Neodiprion lecontei: one gene and its partner. Each later gene encodes a partner of the first gene's protein in a complex. Links are inferred from orthologs where the notes say so. Each region holds a gene or a part of one and is shown on either strand. Other genes may lie near its edges. The genes, in order: transcription initiation factor TFIID subunit 6 and transcription initiation factor TFIID subunit 9.

Region 1 (9,695 bases):
CTGTTTCCCAACGAAGCCACCCAACGGAAAAGAGAGATTCACACACTCATGCATAAACCCCGCGACGGATCCCAAAACGGCCACCTACCTACCCGGTTACCTATATTCGATCTAAACGATTCTCCATTTTTTCCAATGCACATCATTCTTCATCATTTGCGCCGTGGTCACCGACTTACATTTTCGTTGGTTACCTGTTGGGAACAAAATGTTCATGTATCGTAGTCTGCCTTCTCAGAATACAGTATCGGTTGTATCCCGCCAACCCTAATATTGCATTCATTATTTTAGTAAATGCTGGCAGACTATCGGTACATTAACCTTTTGTAAAATTGATTAAAAACATCCTGAATGCCAATTAGCATTTTTCTAAGCGAGCTAAGCCTGCAGTTGATCAATACTTGTTGGATGTTAAAAGATTGAAAATGATATATAATATAAGATGCAAGTTGATCAATACTTGTTGGATGTTAAAAGATTGAAAATGATATATAATATAAGATGCAAGTTGATCACGTTACGTTATGGCAGACTTTGGAATTTTATCAATTTAACAGTAATGTGAATAATTGAATACTTTCAAAACCTCAGGTGAACCCACCACTTAAACGGCATCATCGGTAAATTCAAACGTAGATTATTACATCAGTTACGAAACACAATTCGATCTCGCGAGTGCCGAGTAAGAGATGGATACCTGTCGCGATGCTCATTCCAATTTTAGCAACGTGCATATTTTTAAATTTTAAGTAAGCTACGCTAAATTCAATTCAGAAAAAAACTGATTCGACATACAGTCAAGCTCGTTGCGATTAGGAATGAGCCTATCCATGCAGCTAAGAAATCGAAGATTTGTGTAACAATTGTTACCGCCACGCCACGTGACAGAGGAATCCCAGGGAAATACCCGTAACCTAACACATGCAAACTCACCAACGTTGCCGAAAAATGAAAAAGTTACTCGGAAGTCTCTGCTTAAATCTGTGAAAAACAAAATAGAACACTTCAATTAATTTTTTAAATTGGCTTCCAGTTTCCAAATTAATTACTACTGTTGTCTAGTTTCATATTTATGCATTGCATGTTGTGCAAGAACAAAAGTTCGACTTTAAATGTACCACCTTAGATTATCAATCAATAATTAAAATAAGTATTGTTACCTCCACTCTGGACTGCTCCACGGTTTCACATATAGTAGTTCTTGTAGCATCTCAGGGTTACTGGTGAAGCGACGCACTTTTTTCACAATTCAGATCTTCACTAATCTCTTGTAATCCATAAAATCAGCACTGTAATAACGCTAGCACTCGATACTACACTCACTTTTTGGTCTGTAGCTGTCTGTTTGAACCGACTGAATAAGCTTGCTAACAATGCAATTGCGCATTTACCGAAAACCAGCCAAAAAAATAATAAAATTGACACTCCACGCATAGAGACAAATATAGACGTCACTGAAATCTGAAGTTACACAAAACTATGAAAATTCGGACACGAAATTCACCTTCAATGTTCGTAGGATGTTTTTATTTCGATAACTTGGTTTTTCTTCAGGATACACGCTGCTCCTCGTGTATTATTCACAAATGAGTATGGTGGAAATAAACTGATCGAACAACGTGACACCACCTGAACAACGCGGTCTGAATGTTGAACCGATACTGAGAGCACGCGATTTGACTCAGATGGCTCGGAAACGACTGATGCTGTACGGCGCACAGAAGAAACTTAAATCAGTTCTCTGAAGAACGGAGGATAATAATTCTCCCCGCCCTCTCTGTCGCTCTTCACATGGAGTGGGGATAGCTGCACGCGCCTGCCTATCTGTTTTTCTCCTCTGTAGAATTATTATCCTGTCCTTTAGAGAACCGATTCGAATCCGTTCACGGGACGCTTACACCGTTGCTTACGCTCTATTTTATACATCTCTATGGTCTCAGCGGCCGAATGAAAACACCGCCTAAGCTGCGCACAACGCGATCAAATGTGTAGAACATTGCCGTAACAATGTGCGACGTCAAACGAAGTATGAATGCTCGGACCAATTACGGATATTACTTGAAAGGGATTTTCTCAGCTTTTCAATTTCACTATGACGACGGTATGTTACCAACGTTTTGCACGCGATAGTTGTTAGTTATGAAGAATTTCTGTTACCGACGTCGTCAGCTGCCTGGTTGATGAAACGTGAAACTGCTAATACCCCCAAACCCAGCAAACTGTTACGCACAATAACCCAGCGTTATCAATCTTTATACATATGCCCTCGGTCAACGCACACACTTAAACTTTCGCCGAACCGACTTCAGCGATTCTCCGGATCTAACTGCCTTTCCTCGGAGTTCGGACTTACGCGACAGAGTACGCGAGCGGTATTCGCGCGAGCCCTGCCCTCTGGTGGTCGATCCATACAACCGCGGCACGACAATCTTTCTATCGTGACAACCACCGTTGCCCCTCAAATTCAAACCACCACACTAGCCAATATTTCATATTGTTGTTCTAAAAGGCTGCGTGAAAATTGTTGATTATTTGCTAAATTATGCAAGCCGAGATAACTGATGTAAGTGGTTTCGTTAATGCTGAAACCATCACAAGTCGTAAACTAGTATTGTAAAAAACTAACACGGATATTGATAAGATATTAGTAAAAAAACGGAGCAGACTGTCATGTCAACAATGTACAAATCGAGACAGCCCTAGACTTAGCTAAAACTGGGTCAAAAGTTAAAAATACACTGAGTTTTTGCCAAAAATAAACGTAAGGTGCACTGGAGTCGTACAGATAACAACACTGAAACTTTATTCAATGTTTGAATTCTATGTTATCGTTGATTCATATGAAAACGAATAATCGATAACGGCTAGTGCATCGGAAGTAAATGTTTGTACTTTTCAAAACCTAAATATTATTATTGTATAAGATTTATGTATATTCTATGTGAAGAATTTCTCAATTGTTCATCTTGTTATACATATTAGCACACTTTATTTTTATGTCTTTAAATAAAAATATACGTACGATGTGTTCTGTAAATTAATCTCCAAAAATTACTTACAATTTCGAATGGTACAAATGATTTTATGTGTGAGATTATTTTTTGCAAATGAATTTTATCACCATTTTCTTATTTCTCGTTTGATAAATTATTTTAACTCAATGGATTTGATCACTTTTAGCTCTTTGTATTTTACGAATCAGATAATAGTCATTCATCTGGATCTTCCATCATAACAAATCCATCTATTTCGTAACACAGGTCTGCAAAGGATTGCTCCGTCAAAAAAAAAAAAATTCCGACTTGAAGATTTTAATGTGCCGAATTTATATCTGCTTTCCATTTTCTGCTGTCACGCATATGTATATTACAGGATATGATTTTTTTATTGTTTAAAATTAAGAATTTGTTGTGTTTTGTTTTTACATTTGCACTACTTTAATCTATTTAAACAGTATTCGTAGTATTCGTACATGATACAAACCAGTTCGAACTGATGAAAGAGAAAGAAACATATCGCCTAACGCCGTTTTATTCACACCATGCATGCGTCTGCGCAGTTCTCGTTGTGCCTTCATGTCGTACAGTACGTTAAAATGTTGTCTAGTGTGAAAGAAAATGACAAAATAACTAGAATTATACTAGTAGATAGATTTTCTTTCGATTTTAATGCGTAAACATTTTAATTTTATGACATTTTTTATAAACATTGTTGCTATCATTAGTGTTTGATTATAATGTGTAAGCAAAAATAGCGTTATATTAAAAAAAAATTACATGAAAAATATACGTGGTTCATATTATTTGTTACTGTATTTCTATTCAAGAGCATCTAATCTAATAAGAAGGAGGAAAAAAAAGATTTTCTTGCAGACCAGTGATAATTACAATGAATATTATCCACTTGTAGTACTTTCGGATTCATTAAAATTCTGTTTCAGTTTCCCTTTTTCGTTTTGTCGTGCAAATTTGTATTTTTAAGAGAATCGATGTACATACCGTTGTGCGAAACTCAATCCTTATTCCGATGTATCGATGAATGGAATCGATTCTGCCAAAAGGCGATACCAGCCTGTTTATTTTGCCGCGTTTAAAGTGGTGGACTACTTCACGGTAGCTTCGTGGCTACCACAAGCCAACGTGGACAATCATGTGAAGCTTGTCGATAGTTGAAGCCTGTCAAACGTTTGTAGGTTATGTTTGTGAAATCGATGCTGTTATTGTGAAAAATTAAGTATAAATTGATCACAGATGAACTATGAATGACAACGATTCGATATACGGGACGACTCTGTCCCAGGAGTCCATGAAAGTGATCGCAGAAAGCATTGGGGTCGGAAATCTTCCTGACGAGGCTGCCAAGGATCTCGCCGAGGATGTAAGCTACAGGCTAAAGGAGATCATTCAGGCAAGTTGCGGTAGTATTCTCTGTTTTCTCCTCTCAATTTACATATATTCGACGAATTTTAAACTCTCCGAAGTCACCACTGAGCTACGTTTTGAAATATTTAATCTCGTTTGCCTACTTTTCAATTTTTATTTATCTCATTTCGCCATCTCTGGACATATTTCGTCCTTATTCATCCATGTCGATGTAAAATTTGACTGTATATGAATGTTCGCCACATTTTTCCATTCGTTTTCAGTCACACATTAGTCATATTTTACCTAATTATATTGGTATTGAAAAGGCGTTCACAGTGTAAACATTGTGGATGCACAAGCGCGGTTAGGTTACCATCATGGTGGAGGGATTCAAGAACTGCGAATGTGTACGTACACCACATACGCATACAGCCGTACAGCTCTTGTATCGCAGCAAATATTTTTATTCTTTGTAATAATTTCCCCCTTCTGTCGTCATGACCACCATACACATTTCATGCTCTGCATTCCAATCACGTTATTTTTGGGTACATTTGGCTTTTTATTTTATTATTTATGACTATTTATAATTTCAATACTGTTTCAATATTCAGCTCATTATTTAATTTCTCTAGCTGTTTTTGCCTACCAAAGGTCTTATTTCTTTACTTTTGACCATCAATTAATCTTATTTGGCTATTTCTAAACTAATTGTCATCTATTTATGGCAAACTAATGATAGCTGACTGTTTAGCTGTATTTCAACTGTTTTCAAAATTGTCCCTCATCCATGTTTAGTCACATTATAATAATGATTTGACTATTTTTTTTACTTCATTTAGTCATACGTAGCCATGCATAAGCATTATTTTTTCCCTCTTTCACAATTTGTTAGTCTGTTTAGGATGTTCTTGAATACATTTCATCATTTTCTGCTATTAATTGAGTTTCTTTGACTCCTCTTGACGTACACTAATCTTAGTCAAATTTTTTTACCTCTCATTAGTTCTTTCAAATTATTTTTGGACAGATTACGGCCTTCAACGTAAATCCTTTGCCGATAAATAGTTTTATTTCACTATTTTCAATTGTATTTTCATTAAAATTGGCCACCAGTTCTATTTTACAGGTTTTATTTAAACATGTGTTGGTTCACCATTATCCGTTTGCTCATCATGTTTGATTACTTTTTGATGCATTTCGACTGGTTTTAGTGTTGCTTTGGTCATATTTGGTCGATTTCACATTTATTTGCCATAATAAAAGAGATTTTTCTACTTCCAACAATAGACTAATTTCATCACCCACCTTCGTGTTCACTTTTCATATCATCCTTAAATTAACTTCTCAAATACCTATTCAGGATGCAGCAAAATTCATGCACCACAGTAAGCGTCAGAGGATGACTGCACACGACATCGACCATGCATTAAAGATAAAGAACATCGAGCCGACATATGGCTTCTTTGCGCGAGAAAACGTCCCCTTCAGATTCGCATCGGGAGGAGGTAGAGAATTGCACTTTGTCGAGGACAAGGAGATAGACTTGAACGAAGCAGTGTCCAACAGCCAGTCGTGGCCTAAGCTACCGCTCGAAGTAACGTTGCGAGCCCATTGGCTTTGCATTGATGGCGTCCAGCCGACGATTCCAGAAAATCCACCTCCTGTATCCAAGGGTGAATTGAAAAGCCTTATCGGTCATTCACGAATATTTCATCACTTCATGATGCTGTTCATCTGAAAAATAAATTCAAAAAATTTCCAGACGCGCAAAAGGTTGAGAGTGTTGATCCGACAAGCAAGCTCACTGCCAAGGGTCAGAGTGTCGGCATTGGTAAGCCGGGAGGAGGAGGAAAGAGTCAAAAGTTGAGAAACGTTGAGACGGTGCATGTAAAGCAGCTTGCTACCCACGAGCTCAGTGTTGAGCAGCAGCTCTACTACAAGGAGATAACCGAGGCCTGCGTTGGATCGGACGAGGCTCGTAGAGCTGAGGCCCTGCAATCTTTGTCTGCGGATCCTGGTTTGCATGAAATGCTTGCCAGAATGTGCACCTTCATCGCCGAAGGCGTCAGGGTCAATGTGGTGCAAAACAATCTCGCACTTCTCATTTACCTCATGAGAATGGTCAAAGCCCTTCTCGACAATCCCAGCCTTTATCTAGAGAAATACGTGAGTAATTTGCCACAAAAAATTTCACAACACAGCAGCAGCGGCTTTCACGATAGTTGAGAATTCAAGGAGATCATGAAAATCACGAAAATCCAGGCTAAACGAATTGTCAAAGAAATTATAGAAATAACTGCAATCTCTTCTTTCTCGATGATTTGTTCCTTGAATTATTTCAAATCTTACTGGCTTTTATTTCTCTATTTTAACATCAATAGAACTAATTTCAGCTGCACGAGCTGATACCGTCAGTAGCGACGTGCATAGTCTCTCGGCAGCTATGCATGAGACCTGAAATGGACAATCATTGGGCGCTGAGAGATTTTGCATCACGCCTGATGGCCCAGATCTGCAAGAACTTCAACACGTCGACGAACAATGTGCAGACCAGAGTTACTCGCATGTTTAGTCAGGCGCTGGCTAAGAATAGTCAGGTAAATCAATTCGGGGTAAGAAATTATCGACATCCTTACCTGCGGCTAAGAGGAAACTAACACTTCTGTTATCTTCAGACGCCCTTGGCCTCGCTCTACGGGGCGATCGAAGGACTCTCTGAGCTCGGCCCAGAGGTGGTCAAGGCGCTGATCATTCCAAAGATAAAATCCATATCTGAGAGGATCGAGAGCTGCATTGAGGGGCCCGTACTTTCCAGTATTGATAAAAACGGTGCTGGTCATATCAAGACGCTGTTAGTTGTGAGTGAACTTTTAAACTGCTCGAAACTCTCTTCGCAGTTGATTTAAGATTGTGTTGGCTTTTTTAGAAAGTTGTCGCTCCTGTGTTGAAAGGCATGCGTCCGGCTCCGGATTACGTTGAAGAGTACAAACAAGACTTTGGATACGTCGGTCCAGTGCTTTGTGCCGCTGTTGCTAAAGCTCGAATCCAACCTGCAACTCTTACCACCTCCGCAACGGCCTCCACCACTCTCACCACAAACCAGCAACAGGGACCAACCACTGTGGTGACAAAACCGCTCGTTCAATCAGGTAAAATAACATGTTTCACTATTGGGAAGCAAGGGAAATGGCGCAGGATATTATTAATGCTGTGCCAGTTATGCTGAATTTCTTAGAGATGTTTGAAAATCTTGTGGCAATTGACTGACTCTTAGTAATTCTAGGAAATCTTCATAGTTTAGGAATCTATGATTCAAAACAGAATAAATTACGCAAATCAGGGTAGTCTCTATTTGGTAGGTTGAAAACACTGAAATGGTTGGCGATTTTTGTTTTACCTCTAAAAAGAAACGAAAAGTCTGAGGATTTCGTCGAATGTGTTACGGGGTGTATGATTGTTATCACGATGAGCGGCTATCGATGACCAAATTACCAAAGTATAATTTCTCGAGATAGATTACGTTGTTCATTACTTTAACTTTTATAGACACAAAAATAATCCATAAAATTACCGTTTTGGATCTGGAGAACCTGAATAAGTAAAAAATTCCCCAATTCAAAATCAGTAGCAACCCTGTTTCGTGAATCCTATTGCCGGGAATCACCAAAATCATGTTACACCTTTCAAAAAATCCTCAGATCTTATGAGAGATCCAGAACGATCATTTGATATTGACTAAAGTACATACCTTCGGGAATGCGAATTCGTTATGCTCTTTTCTTCTGTTGTTTTGGAATCGTCCGAAACTGTGTATACTCTGAATACTTATTTGAAAATTGTTGAAATTTTTCTTGAACATCTCGGTAGACAGAAAAGGATTGGAACTTATTGAACCCGATTCGTTTCGATGATTTTCCGGTCCGAGTTTCACAAGAAAATTGATCCATGATAAGAAACTCAATGTGAATTAATCGTTCAATTTTTTTGAATATGTGTCTAGGGATTTGATATGTTTCCACTTTCTTACGTGTCAATTACAATAAAATCACTTGGAATGTTCCCGGTGAATTTTTTTGTACGAAAGGATCAAACAGGAATGGATCGAAACGAAATTAGGTATTACAGCTTGAATTGAATTGAAATTGCGTTGTAATTCAAACATAACAGAATGGCGAAGAAACGAATCCGTAGACACGCATTGAAAACGCTAGAACGATTAAATCGGATTGATGTCAGCATAATGCAGTACGTTTACTTGATAATTTGGAATTGGCAGACGCCAAAATAAATTTTTTCTAGTACAATTGAATCTTTTTTAATTTACTGGGATCCGAATATCCAATCTTCCGAAATTTATTCACTTTACATTTGAGGCTGATCTATGATTCCAGTGCCCGCGGGTAGCCCAGGTCAGCAGGCTCCTAGCAGAACGATGATACTGGGTTCCGGCAGGGGTGGAACAACGCCGACGGGCGGCTGTCAGAAGTTCGTCATACTTCAGTCGAGATCGCAGACACCGACGATGCCGAACGTCGTACAAACACCAGGCCAACAGCAGCAACAGCAGCAGGTCAAGATAACGCAAAATAGTTCTAGTCATCAACAAAAGCAACATCTCCAGGGTAGCACCCCAAAACTGGTGGTGGTTTGCATGCCTAGTAGTAACCAGAACGCCACGACCACTGTGTCTCAGGTACATGGATCAAGTCTATACACCGAATCGCTACCTCATTCTTCTTGGTTTTTTTCCGTTTTTGTGCTTTTGCATCAAGTCGCGTTCTTTTTGTATACTTAGAAACACAATTGACATCAGCTACTAGTATCATCCAGTCTGTTTAATCGCTGAAATTAATGCGCATAGGGGGTAAACTGTGAAGTACGTCGATTTTGTTATGTTCTTTACTTATGAACTCATCGTTGAAAAATTTACGATATAGTACCAAATCAGCGTGTACATGTATATGCGTAGTTTATCGACCGAAGGCACAGTGTAGTGAGTAATTGCGAAATTTCAGAGATCTATTTTATTTGTTTTTTTTTTCCTTTGCTTTATCGTGTGTTCAGATGCTTTGTTTGAAAATTCGATTTCCCGTCCCGTCGAACACGGAAAGATCGAAACGGATTAAAAACAAGTCGTTTCATAAGAATGTTTTCATTTTTTTTCACGCAACTAAATTAGAAAAAATTTATTCACCATATTTTTTTATTCTTGTTTTTTACAGGCCAGTCTTACTTCTAAACCACAGACAGTCTTTGTTACTCAACAAAGCATCGAAAGATCTCTGAGCCCCACCGACGAGCACGCTTTTCAATAGATTGAATAATATA
Region 2 (9,563 bases), on another chromosome or scaffold:
CAAAATCACCAGGCAGCCTATCGTAAGTTATGCCACAATCTTATAAAATTTTTTTGCAGACATATACGATTTTTCTGAGAATTGGGGAATTACACTTTTGCAATGATTCATGAAAAAATTGATTTACAGGTTTACTTGAAAGAAATTTTGAATGAAGTGTGCAATTACAACTTGAAGAACCCGCACAGAAATATGTGGGAATTGAAACCTGAGTATCGTCATTACAAGGATGATCAGAAGCCAGCGGCAACTGCCACAAAAGTTGATGACTCAGACGATGATTAGTACTTTGTTTTATATACTTTTTTAGAATGTTTGGACGATTTGCTGCCTGTGATTTGCTAGTTCAGATCTTGATTTACTGAGTTCACTGATTACAATCGATCAACTCATAGATCGATGCAATTTCTTAAATGGAAATTTATTTGATTCGTAAAGGCGTTCCAGGAATAGCTTCGGTGAATTTAAGCAGAGTTTGTGAGATAGTAAAGTGATAAATCGCGTCCCCATGGAATAATTCTTCTATATCGACGCCAGGCAAAGAGAGAAAATAAAAGACTTTCTCTTGTCATAGGATCCAAATAATAGGGAAATTTGCGGAAATCCGCATTGGATGATTTGTAAATAGTGATATATTGTATTTATTTTTACATCAATCGTTTAGATGCGAAGAGAGAAGTTGAAGAAGCAAAGACTTTATCTCAGATGTAGATTTGTTCATATTGTTACTCGACATAAGTTTCATACGGAAATATTAAAGAGAATCTACAAATATAATGGTGCGTAGGAGTAAAAAATATATCAAAGCATAATGAAACGGTAATGCACTTTAAAAAAAATTACATTACAGTATATTTAAACATATATATATAAGATACAATTACACCAGCCATCATGCTCTGATTTATAGAAATCAAATCAAGGCTTCTGCTCATCCCAAAGCATAGGGAGACTGTCTGGCTGTCTCAAGAGTAAAGCTGCCTCTGGCACTGCAAAAATAATGTTAATCGCTCATTAGTTCCGAAGCTGTAATGGCAAAGCTCCAAAGTTTTTTTCTCTTTATTGTAACTGGTTTGATACTAATAATTCTCGGTGGACATACACAAGTATCTCCGCAGCTGTTTTCTGTACTAAACAAAGTTTTTCTACTCGTACTTACAATTTGTTAAAAACTCTACCACCCATGTACACTTCGTTGTGTCGGTCAAGTGCTTCCAGGTACATTGAACGTGTTCCTGTGGCACGGAAACCGGTCGGGTTCCTGATAGATTCTGCGAAGAAGTAATAGGCGCGGGAATGGGCGCAGCTCCCTGTAAAGGATAATGTGTTAGAGTGCTGCGATATGCGCAATGACAAACTCTCAACTTGTGCGAAACTTACCGACAAGGTCCAGTCCGCATCCAGGCTGACTGCTACCGCCGTTGGGGTAAAAATCGGTATCACCAATGGCATCCATGATGCCGAGAAGTCCTCCATTTGTGTGGATTATCTGAACATGGTCAGCGTCAGTTTGGTGAATTCGGGATCCAGCTCCAGCAGAGTTAAAAAGAGGAAGCGCTGGGTCGAGACCTGTGAAAATATTCGTGCAATGATGAAAAACGATTCCTTGTGTAAAGAAGACCGGATTTTCGAACGAGTTAAAGAATCTCATCTGCCTTTTACTCACCTATGACAGCGTCGATTGTGCCCTCAGCGTTGCGGGCAGCAATTCCAGACACGTGAGCACCTAGAGAGTGTCCAACGAGTTTCGTCGATGCTACGTTGAGGCCGGCGTTGGCGCTGAGGAAGTTGATCATCAGACTAACTCTGGCGGCAACACCTCTGACGCTTGATGAAGCACTCACGTAAAGAGCACCAGCAATGGAACTCCAATCGATCACAATCACGTTGTAGTCGCCTTCAGCTAGGTAGGCTGAGGATAAAAACGAGGAGATATGAACACAAATATGAACACAGGACTCAACGATGTGAAGTCAAATTACGTCTTAGAAAAAACAATTTTCCTGTAATTCTTACAACCGGTGTGAACTTAGCATCCCCATCATCTCTATGTCAAAAACATGCTACAATTCTATTCACATCCAGATTAGTTCTATATTTCCTGATAAGTTTCAATAAAATTTCTGTTAATTTACCCTAAAAAAAGGGTGCATAAAGGATGATACGCTAACTTTGCGCTGTATCTTACAGCGTCTAAGCGAATTTCAATTATTCCAGCTGAATGGAATATTTTTTTTTTTTCACCCGTTTTTGGACAGCAGAGGATTCATCTGATAAATGTTCCATTCAGCTGGGATGATCGAAATCCGCTTAGATGCTGTAAGATACAACGCCAAGTTAATATTTCATTCCTTGTTCAGCCCTTTCTTAGGGGTAAATCAACAGATCTCTTATTGAAATGTATCAAGAACTACTCTGGATTCTAATATAACTACAGTTTATTTTTGATAATAAGTTTGCACCGGTTTCTTACCATCGCGGATGGTAATGCAGGCGTCTGAATTCTGGTTCGACCTCCATCCATGAGTGATAAATCGAGTCGGGCGAGAACTGCTCCAGTTACTACCACTGACGCTAGATACGGAGTTGAGAACTAAGAGCTGAGAATTCCTGGGGTTGTTACTGTGCAAAGAGAAGACTGTAATTAGCTTGAGCTGGTCAGACGGCGCTTAAAAGTCAACAGAACTCTATTCTCACCGAGTAAAAAGATTGAATGTTATGGTTTCGACATTGCGAGAAAGGATGGAATCACTCGAATCAAAACCAGTCAGATCTTCACCCTTTTCCAGCAGGTCGATCAGTTGAGGAACTCCGTCTCCGTCAGGGAAATACATGTAGTCATGCTCAGGTTCAATCACCTCCCCAGCGTAAACTGCATTATTTTGATCAAATAATTAATTTTCGATGTAAACCAAGTGCCTCGAAATTGTTGGAAATGGTATGATGAAATAAATTCACGGCACTGTGAATCGATAATCGAGAAAAATCAAGTAATATTGAATGGTATCGTACCTGAGGCAGTAATCGCAAGAACAGCTATGAGCAGTAGCTTCATTTTTGCAACAAAAACTTGAATTGCCCTGTTATTCGCAGAATACTGTACTTATAGTGCCAGCAATTATCGATTCGTGATTGATAATCAAAACAGATTTAAATCTGAGTTTCAATCCCCTTGTGGTTATTGATTAAGGCTCAATTACAACGTTCTTTCATCTAATCTAAAATGTGATAAAATCTAAACATTTGATCTAGCCCATTTTGGTATTTTTGATTTAAAACAAACAAGATTATTATCTGGATGACAGTATTTATAGTAGTATACTGTATATATTCGGCTACTGATAAAACTTGTCAATCTACTCAGTTAGTTTTTGTAGTGTGTATATCGTTGCAACTAACTGAGATATTATCCTTATACAGTAGTGGTCGTAATTTTATTATCTAACAAAGCCAAAGTGCTGAATTGATCACGCCATTCGCCACTGTTAAATCCATCAATCAATTTTAATCCGTACAATTTTTTCGCATATTGTTACATCCTGTTTGTTGGCTTGATTGCTAAACTGGGATTTCTACTTCTTTAATTAATCAACTCAAACATGTTCAGTTTGACGACTTTTAATTAAACAATAAAAGTATTAAGAATTACAAGTCTATTACTGTGAAAGAATGTGTAATACTTCTTCAGGTGCAATACCAATGTCAGTATGCAGATGCAGAAATCTGTTGCAGATCAATTTTATAAATTTTTAGGAGACAATGGTTTCTAGCGACTCCATTCCAAAGTCAACTTTCTTTGTATTCTGGGACACAATATCAATCTATAGGTCAATCTTAGAGCTTTTTAGAAAAGCAAAACACCTTTCAAAAACAGCTGGTGGTTTTTTTCAACGAGTTTTACGATTGATTGATTATCTGGTACCACCCATGACCCATACTCCAGATTTCAAATGATAACTACTTTACATTTGTTGAAAACAAAGCATTACATTAACTGCCAACGTGATTCCGATCGTATGATGTTTCTTATCGATGTATCTCAAGTTTCATTTGTAAATACAATTAAAGATAGGAATAATGATCAATATTCATTGTAAACTTTAGCACGGTGATAATTGTATATTCGGCCAGATGCTGACTATTCGTACCAAACAGACAAAGACAGACTAGAAATTAAACTAAAAATGATTTAGGTAAATGTTGGTTCATTTTTTTAAATGGTGGATAATTTGATTGAAAGAAAACTGTGAACGTAAGTGGGAGTGAATAATAGCTAAATTGCCTATAACATTGAGTAACTGTGATAAATACTGTATTTATTATCAGAACGATTAGGGAATCAGAAGTGTTGATTTGGGGTGCACAGACCATTGTTATAAAATAATATTATTCATATGACGCGGGTACATTTTTTTTTTTTAGTTAGTCAGGCAATATCGTAGTCTTCTTCTTCTCTTTTTCTCTTCGACGAATCATCAGTTTCCATTTTTATTACAGACACAGGTTGACTTGATGAAATTTGAATCTTTGGCTTTCCAACAGCCGGTTTTCCTCCTGGAGCTCCAGCTCCAGCACCTGCCGAAATGTTTTTATCGCATGTTAGTATCAGCAGATAATAATGATGTATACAATATAGTTGAACAATCTTCAAAGATTAAATTCATTGACCGAAGATGCTTCTAAATTCATAAATTTAATTTCCAGTAAAAATATGTTCTCTAAATTTTGATTTACTCGCTTCACATTCCAAGAGTTTATTAATCAGTGGATAATTATCAACACTTCAATGCATAGAACAATTACTGTATTAATACTTTATCACGTTGAAGTTAGTGACGTTATTGTAAACTATGCATGTTAAGGAAAACCGTTATTTCGCTAATCTCGAATTGTCTGAAATTCAATAAAACGTATAATAAGCTAGACATGCTGATATTTTGATAATTTAACTTTTACAGTCATTTTAAAATTGGAAAATGGTGAAATTTTTTTTGTACAATGTTTCGTTAAGATATCGTTACTAACTTTAACCCCGTAATACTTTTTCATTTGTAAAAGGCTCAATCACTACAATTTTATATTCATTTACTGTTGAAGAATCATTTGCTAGTATTTTTCCTGAAAGTCTTTACAATCATTGAAGGAAGTTCCGAATGAGACTAGATAGATCGATCAACTCTACTGATATGCATGTGAAACTTGAGATAAATTCTCATATGGAAGGTAAAGAACAGAAATATTGGCAAGTAGGATGGGGTATTGGGGATGGAAAATTTATCGAGTATCTGCGAAATGATAAGTATTTAAATTATTAGTATGAATAGAATAGGAATGAAAATAATCTACTAATCCAATTTCCTCTACAAAAAAAGAAAACCTCTTTATATTTACCGGTGGTGAATTTGAACACAGGTTTTGGAATTGTTATAGCTTGGGTTCGGGCAACAGTAGCGAGAGTGCCAGGCCTCTTGACGATGGACAATCCAGTTTTGTTCGGTTCGATCTTGATCCTGGGTTGACCTCCGCTAAAATTATTTCCAACTATGGCGTGTAACGGCTTACCAACGATCTTTTTGGTAGCGTTTTTCAGCTTATAGTTTGTGGCATTGAGGCAGTAACGATCGGGCGGAAGGCGCAGGCCATTGTTTGGCTTAACAAATGGCAACGGAATATTGTTCTTTGCTCTGGCTACATCCAGTAGTACATCTCTGGGAGGCGGATTGGTGAACGAACGTTCTAACTGCATTTTTACAGCGAGTCTAACATCGTCTAAGTCAATGAACTTCTTCTTCGCATGGTTAGCATATATCCTGCTGTCGTCCAGTATACAGGTTACGTAACCTGAGAACAATTGTACGTAAAATTGTAATTCATTTTAATGAAACGATGAAAACAACGCGATACAAGAGAGGATATACTCACGATAAGTGAATTCGAGGAGTTGATTTATAACCTTTGGCTCGTAGTCAGTGATGCCCATGTCTTTCATTATTGACATTATAACTTGCGCGTCTTTCGGTACATGTTTAATCTGGCTCATTGATTTCGGTTTATCTGCCATATTTCGTGTTCTTCCTTCGACTTTAAATTCATAAAATATCAAACTTGGTCGCTGTTTCTAAATTAGGTTAACTGACCCTGTCGAACCATTAATACAAAAACATTGTGTTTTCTCTGAAGTAGGCTAGTTTTTGGAAAGGTGGATTTTGATGGAACTGCGGAAAACTCGATAGTAGTTCGATATTTTTAAATTCGATACCTCGATATTCGTTTGTCTTCCCGTTTTGATTACTGTTGTTCAGCACTATTACGGCATAGTTCAGTGGACTTAAATGAAAACTAAATTAGCTCAAGCGACCCTTTCAACCTTTCTGTGGTCATAAATACTATATAAATACAAAAACATTCAGTTTGATATGAAGTTGGCTTGTTTTTGAAAAGGTGTATTTTGATGGTAGACTGCGTAAAAACTCGAGACCAGTTCCATATTTTAAAATTCAATACCTCGATATTCGTTCGTTCTACCGTTTTGATTGCGGCTGTTCACCGCTATTACGGATTAACGGCATAGTTCAATGGACTGGAATGAAAACTAAATTAGGTCAAGTGACTCTGTCACCCTTTCTATAATCATAAATAACGTATAAATACATAAAAATTGAGTTTTATATCGGGTTGGCTGCTTTTTGGAAAGGTGGATTTTGATGTTGAGACTGCGGGAAATTCCAGAGCTGTTCGATATTTTGAAATACGATACCTCGACACTCGCTTGTTACCATTGCGGATGATTACGGATTTGCGGCATAGTTCAGTAGACTTGATCCGCGTCAAGTCGTTGTACGTTTTTCGTCTCCTGAACAATTGCGTTAAATCGTAAGATTCACCTAAAACAACATGAACATCACGTCAGCAGGTGAATAAAACGGTTTTTCGTTATTCCGGCAACGAAAATTTTCAATTGTCGACAAAAATACAGGACATTGAAGTTTTTCGAAAGCCGGCTACGCTCGTGTGCAAGTCACTGTTTTCAGTCATGACATGATTTGCAAGCCTTGTCATACCTAACCTATAATATATGGATAAAAATATGTTGACAACACTCGATTTTCATTGTTCATATTTATTTTCCAGCGGGAATAATTTCCCTACTGGAAGAGCCGATGCCTGAGCTGAAAGTGTTCGCTCTGAAAAAACTAGATCTCATTGTGGACGAATTTTGGCCAGAGATATCCGAGGCGATTGAAAAAATGTACGTGTCACAATACTTATTTATTTGTACAAATCTGTATGTGTGTTACTTGAGTTGTCTTTTAAGATTAAGAAGCAAAATTGCTATAATAATAATCATGAGGCGTCGTTTAACTTATCTACAGCGAAATATTGCACGAAGACAAGGGATTTAATCAGCATGAGCTGGCAGCGCTCGTAGCCAGCAAGGTTTACTACCACCTTGGAAGTTTCGAGGATTCTCTGACTTATGCTCTTGGCGCTGGCGAGCTATTCGACGTTAACGCTCGCAATGAGTATGTCGACACAACGATCGGTGAGTTGAAACTAGTCCAAATTGCTGCTACTGGTTTGTTCTGGATCAATTAGTCTAGCCAATAGAGAATTTCACTTTAACTATTAATGCTAGTCATAAAATTGTATTGAAAACTATCGTTTTATGGACTTGAATTACAGATGCGAGAAGTCCACCCGAAAATTTGTTTATTCAAATTAATTCTAAATCAAGGTCTTTGACCTGTGACTCCTATAATTGAACTTGTCATTTTTTTTTTTTTGATAACCGACGACGCCATTTGAAAAAACTGTTTTTTTTTACACAAAAAGATATAGGACGCGAATTCCTACACATCAAAACTCATGTATCTATAATTTATTCCATTATTAATTTATTAATCATGGTACGAGAATTTGAAATTTACCTGTTTTTCAACATCTATAACTATTAGAAAAAATTATCATTTTGAGTCACGTTTTCTGAAGGTTGTACAGGAAAGTCAAATCTTTGTAAATACGATTTGGTTAAATTTTCTGCAGTAAAAATCATCAATTTTTGCCCAGTAATCAACAGTTTTTTGCTTCAAATAAGTGGAATCTATGTTAACGTTTTTCTCAACAGATGCAAATATCCAGAATGATATTTGAGAATATGTTTTAAATGAAATGTAACCAATATATGCCGTGACTTTAGTATAGCTATGTGTCTTTGGGCAGTAGAGAGAGGGAAATGGTTTTCCTTTTTTTGATACTAAACATTTGCTAAGAAGGTTTGTAAAAATCGCTTCACGATTTATGATTTCCTTTTATCTCACGTGATTTTCGTCTCTATTGACTGGACTAAATAAAGGTCTTATCAAATTAATACATTAAAACAAATTTTCTTTTTCCAGCCAAGTGCATTGACTTTTATACTCAGCAGCGTATTCACGAAGTTGAAGGAAAGTCTGCAGTATCTAGCAAGGCCATTGATCCGCGTTTGGAGGGAATCGTGAATCGGATGTTTCAGCGATGTTTGGACGACGGTCAGTACCGCCAGGCGCTAGGTCTTGCTCTGGAGACTCGCAGGATGGACATTTTTGAAGCTGCTATCATGCAATCTGTAAGTATTTATGAAAGAATGTTACGAAAATCTTTGAGTGCCGCGTTTGAACGCCAGATTAGTTTCTTTTCTTACATTTCTAGGACGACGTTGCGGGCATGCTGTCCTACGCTTTTCAAGTCGCTATGAGCCTCATTCAGAATCGGGGATTCCGCAACACGGTGCTCAGGTGTCTCGTGAGCCTCTATCGGAACCTGGGAACTCCCGACTACGTCAACATGTGTCAGTGTTTGATCTTTCTTGACGATCCGCTAGCTGTTGCCGAACTTCTTGATAGATTGAGCAAAGGTTCACAGGAGTTTTCATTGATGGCTTATCAGATCGCGTTCGATCTATATGAATCTGCGACTCAGCAATTCCTTGGACGTGTTCTTCAGGCGTTAAGAGCAACTGCCCCGATTCCTGCTGCGCTTATGGTCAAACCTATTATAAAACCTGCCGTTAAAGCTACTGCCGAAATACCGGCCGATTCTCCGGCTACCGAGACCGAACCAAATGGGATTACTGCTGACGAAACTCCTCAGCGCAGCATAGAAAGTTTGGTAAGTCCAACCGAGGTCTTGCTATACATTTATGACGGTAAAGTTGTGTAATAGATGTTCAGGATTTCAAGAAATCTTAAAAAATTTGAATAATTATTTGATTGTTAAAGTAGTTGAGTTACTGTCGTACATCAAATTTCAAAGTAGTTAATCATCTGCTGTTTTAAAACCCAGTTTTGAGCGAGTATGGTTTAAAATCTGCTATTCAAATGTTGGTCACACTACAAATTTGTTTTTACATTACTCAGAGTGCCCAGGAGCGGGAGCAGCAGGAGCGTGTGGATGCGCTGTCGAGTATTTTGGGCGGTGAGGTGTCGATAGATTTGCATCTACAATTTTTAATTCGCAGCAATCATACCGATATGCTGATTCTCAAGAACACGAAAGACGCTATACGCGTGTCGATTTGCCACACT

What was found.
Region 2: the proteins of transcription initiation factor TFIID subunit 6 (region 1) and transcription initiation factor TFIID subunit 9 are in contact, whole or in part, in a crystal structure (PDB 1TAF), measured with the Drosophila melanogaster proteins. The link is inferred for Neodiprion lecontei from reciprocal best matches to the Drosophila melanogaster genes Taf6 and Taf9. Residues at the interface, in NP_524161.2 of Drosophila melanogaster: Gly18, Ser19, Ser20, Ile21, Ser22, Glu24, Ser25, Met26, Ile29, Ala30, Ile33, Val35, Ser37, Leu38, Ser39, Asp41, Ala42, Glu45, Leu46, Asp49, Val50, Ser51, Lys53, Leu54, Lys55, Ile57, Val58, Gln59, Ala62, Gln71; in NP_523391.3 of Drosophila melanogaster: Lys20, Asp21, Val24, Ile25, Ser27, Ile28, Leu29, Glu31, Leu32, Val34, Glu36, Tyr37, Glu38, Arg40, Val41, Gln44, Leu45, Phe48, Thr49, Phe50, Tyr52, Val53, Thr54, Ile56, Leu57, Asp58, Lys61, Thr71, Ile72, Asp73.

The regions. Positions count from the first base shown.
Region 1 is NC_060264.1:21,660,298-21,669,992, reverse strand, and holds the start of transcription initiation factor TFIID subunit 6, read left to right. Parts: upstream 1-4,120; 5' UTR 4,121-4,257; coding exon 4,258-4,407; intron 4,408-5,727; coding exon 5,728-6,040; intron 6,041-6,129; coding exon 6,130-6,533; intron 6,534-6,760; coding exon 6,761-6,979; intron 6,980-7,042; coding exon 7,043-7,225; intron 7,226-7,293; coding exon 7,294-7,516; intron 7,517-8,758; coding exon 8,759-9,060; intron 9,061-9,531; exon of another isoform or gene 9,532-9,589; coding exon 9,590-9,682; 3' UTR 9,683-9,695. UniProt on the Drosophila melanogaster protein: TFIID is a multimeric protein complex that plays a central role in mediating promoter responses to various activators and repressors.
Region 2 is NC_060262.1:4,425,229-4,434,791, reverse strand, and holds transcription initiation factor TFIID subunit 9, read right to left. Parts: upstream 6,223-9,563; 5' UTR 6,062-6,222; coding exon 5,923-6,061; intron 5,842-5,922; coding exon 5,392-5,841; intron 4,576-5,391; coding exon 4,427-4,575; 3' UTR 4,296-4,426; downstream 1-4,295. Other genes in the region: general transcription factor IIF subunit 2, read left to right, coding at 1-22, 130-285; phospholipase A1 VesT1.02, read right to left, coding at 932-989, 1,160-1,310, 1,381-1,569, 1,667-1,912, 2,474-2,622, 2,698-2,872, 3,013-3,055; 26S proteasome non-ATPase regulatory subunit 1, read left to right, coding at 6,895-6,913, 7,132-7,249, 7,374-7,543, 8,397-8,605, 8,689-9,147, 9,396-9,563. UniProt on the Drosophila melanogaster protein: TFIID is a multimeric protein complex that plays a central role in mediating promoter responses to various activators and repressors.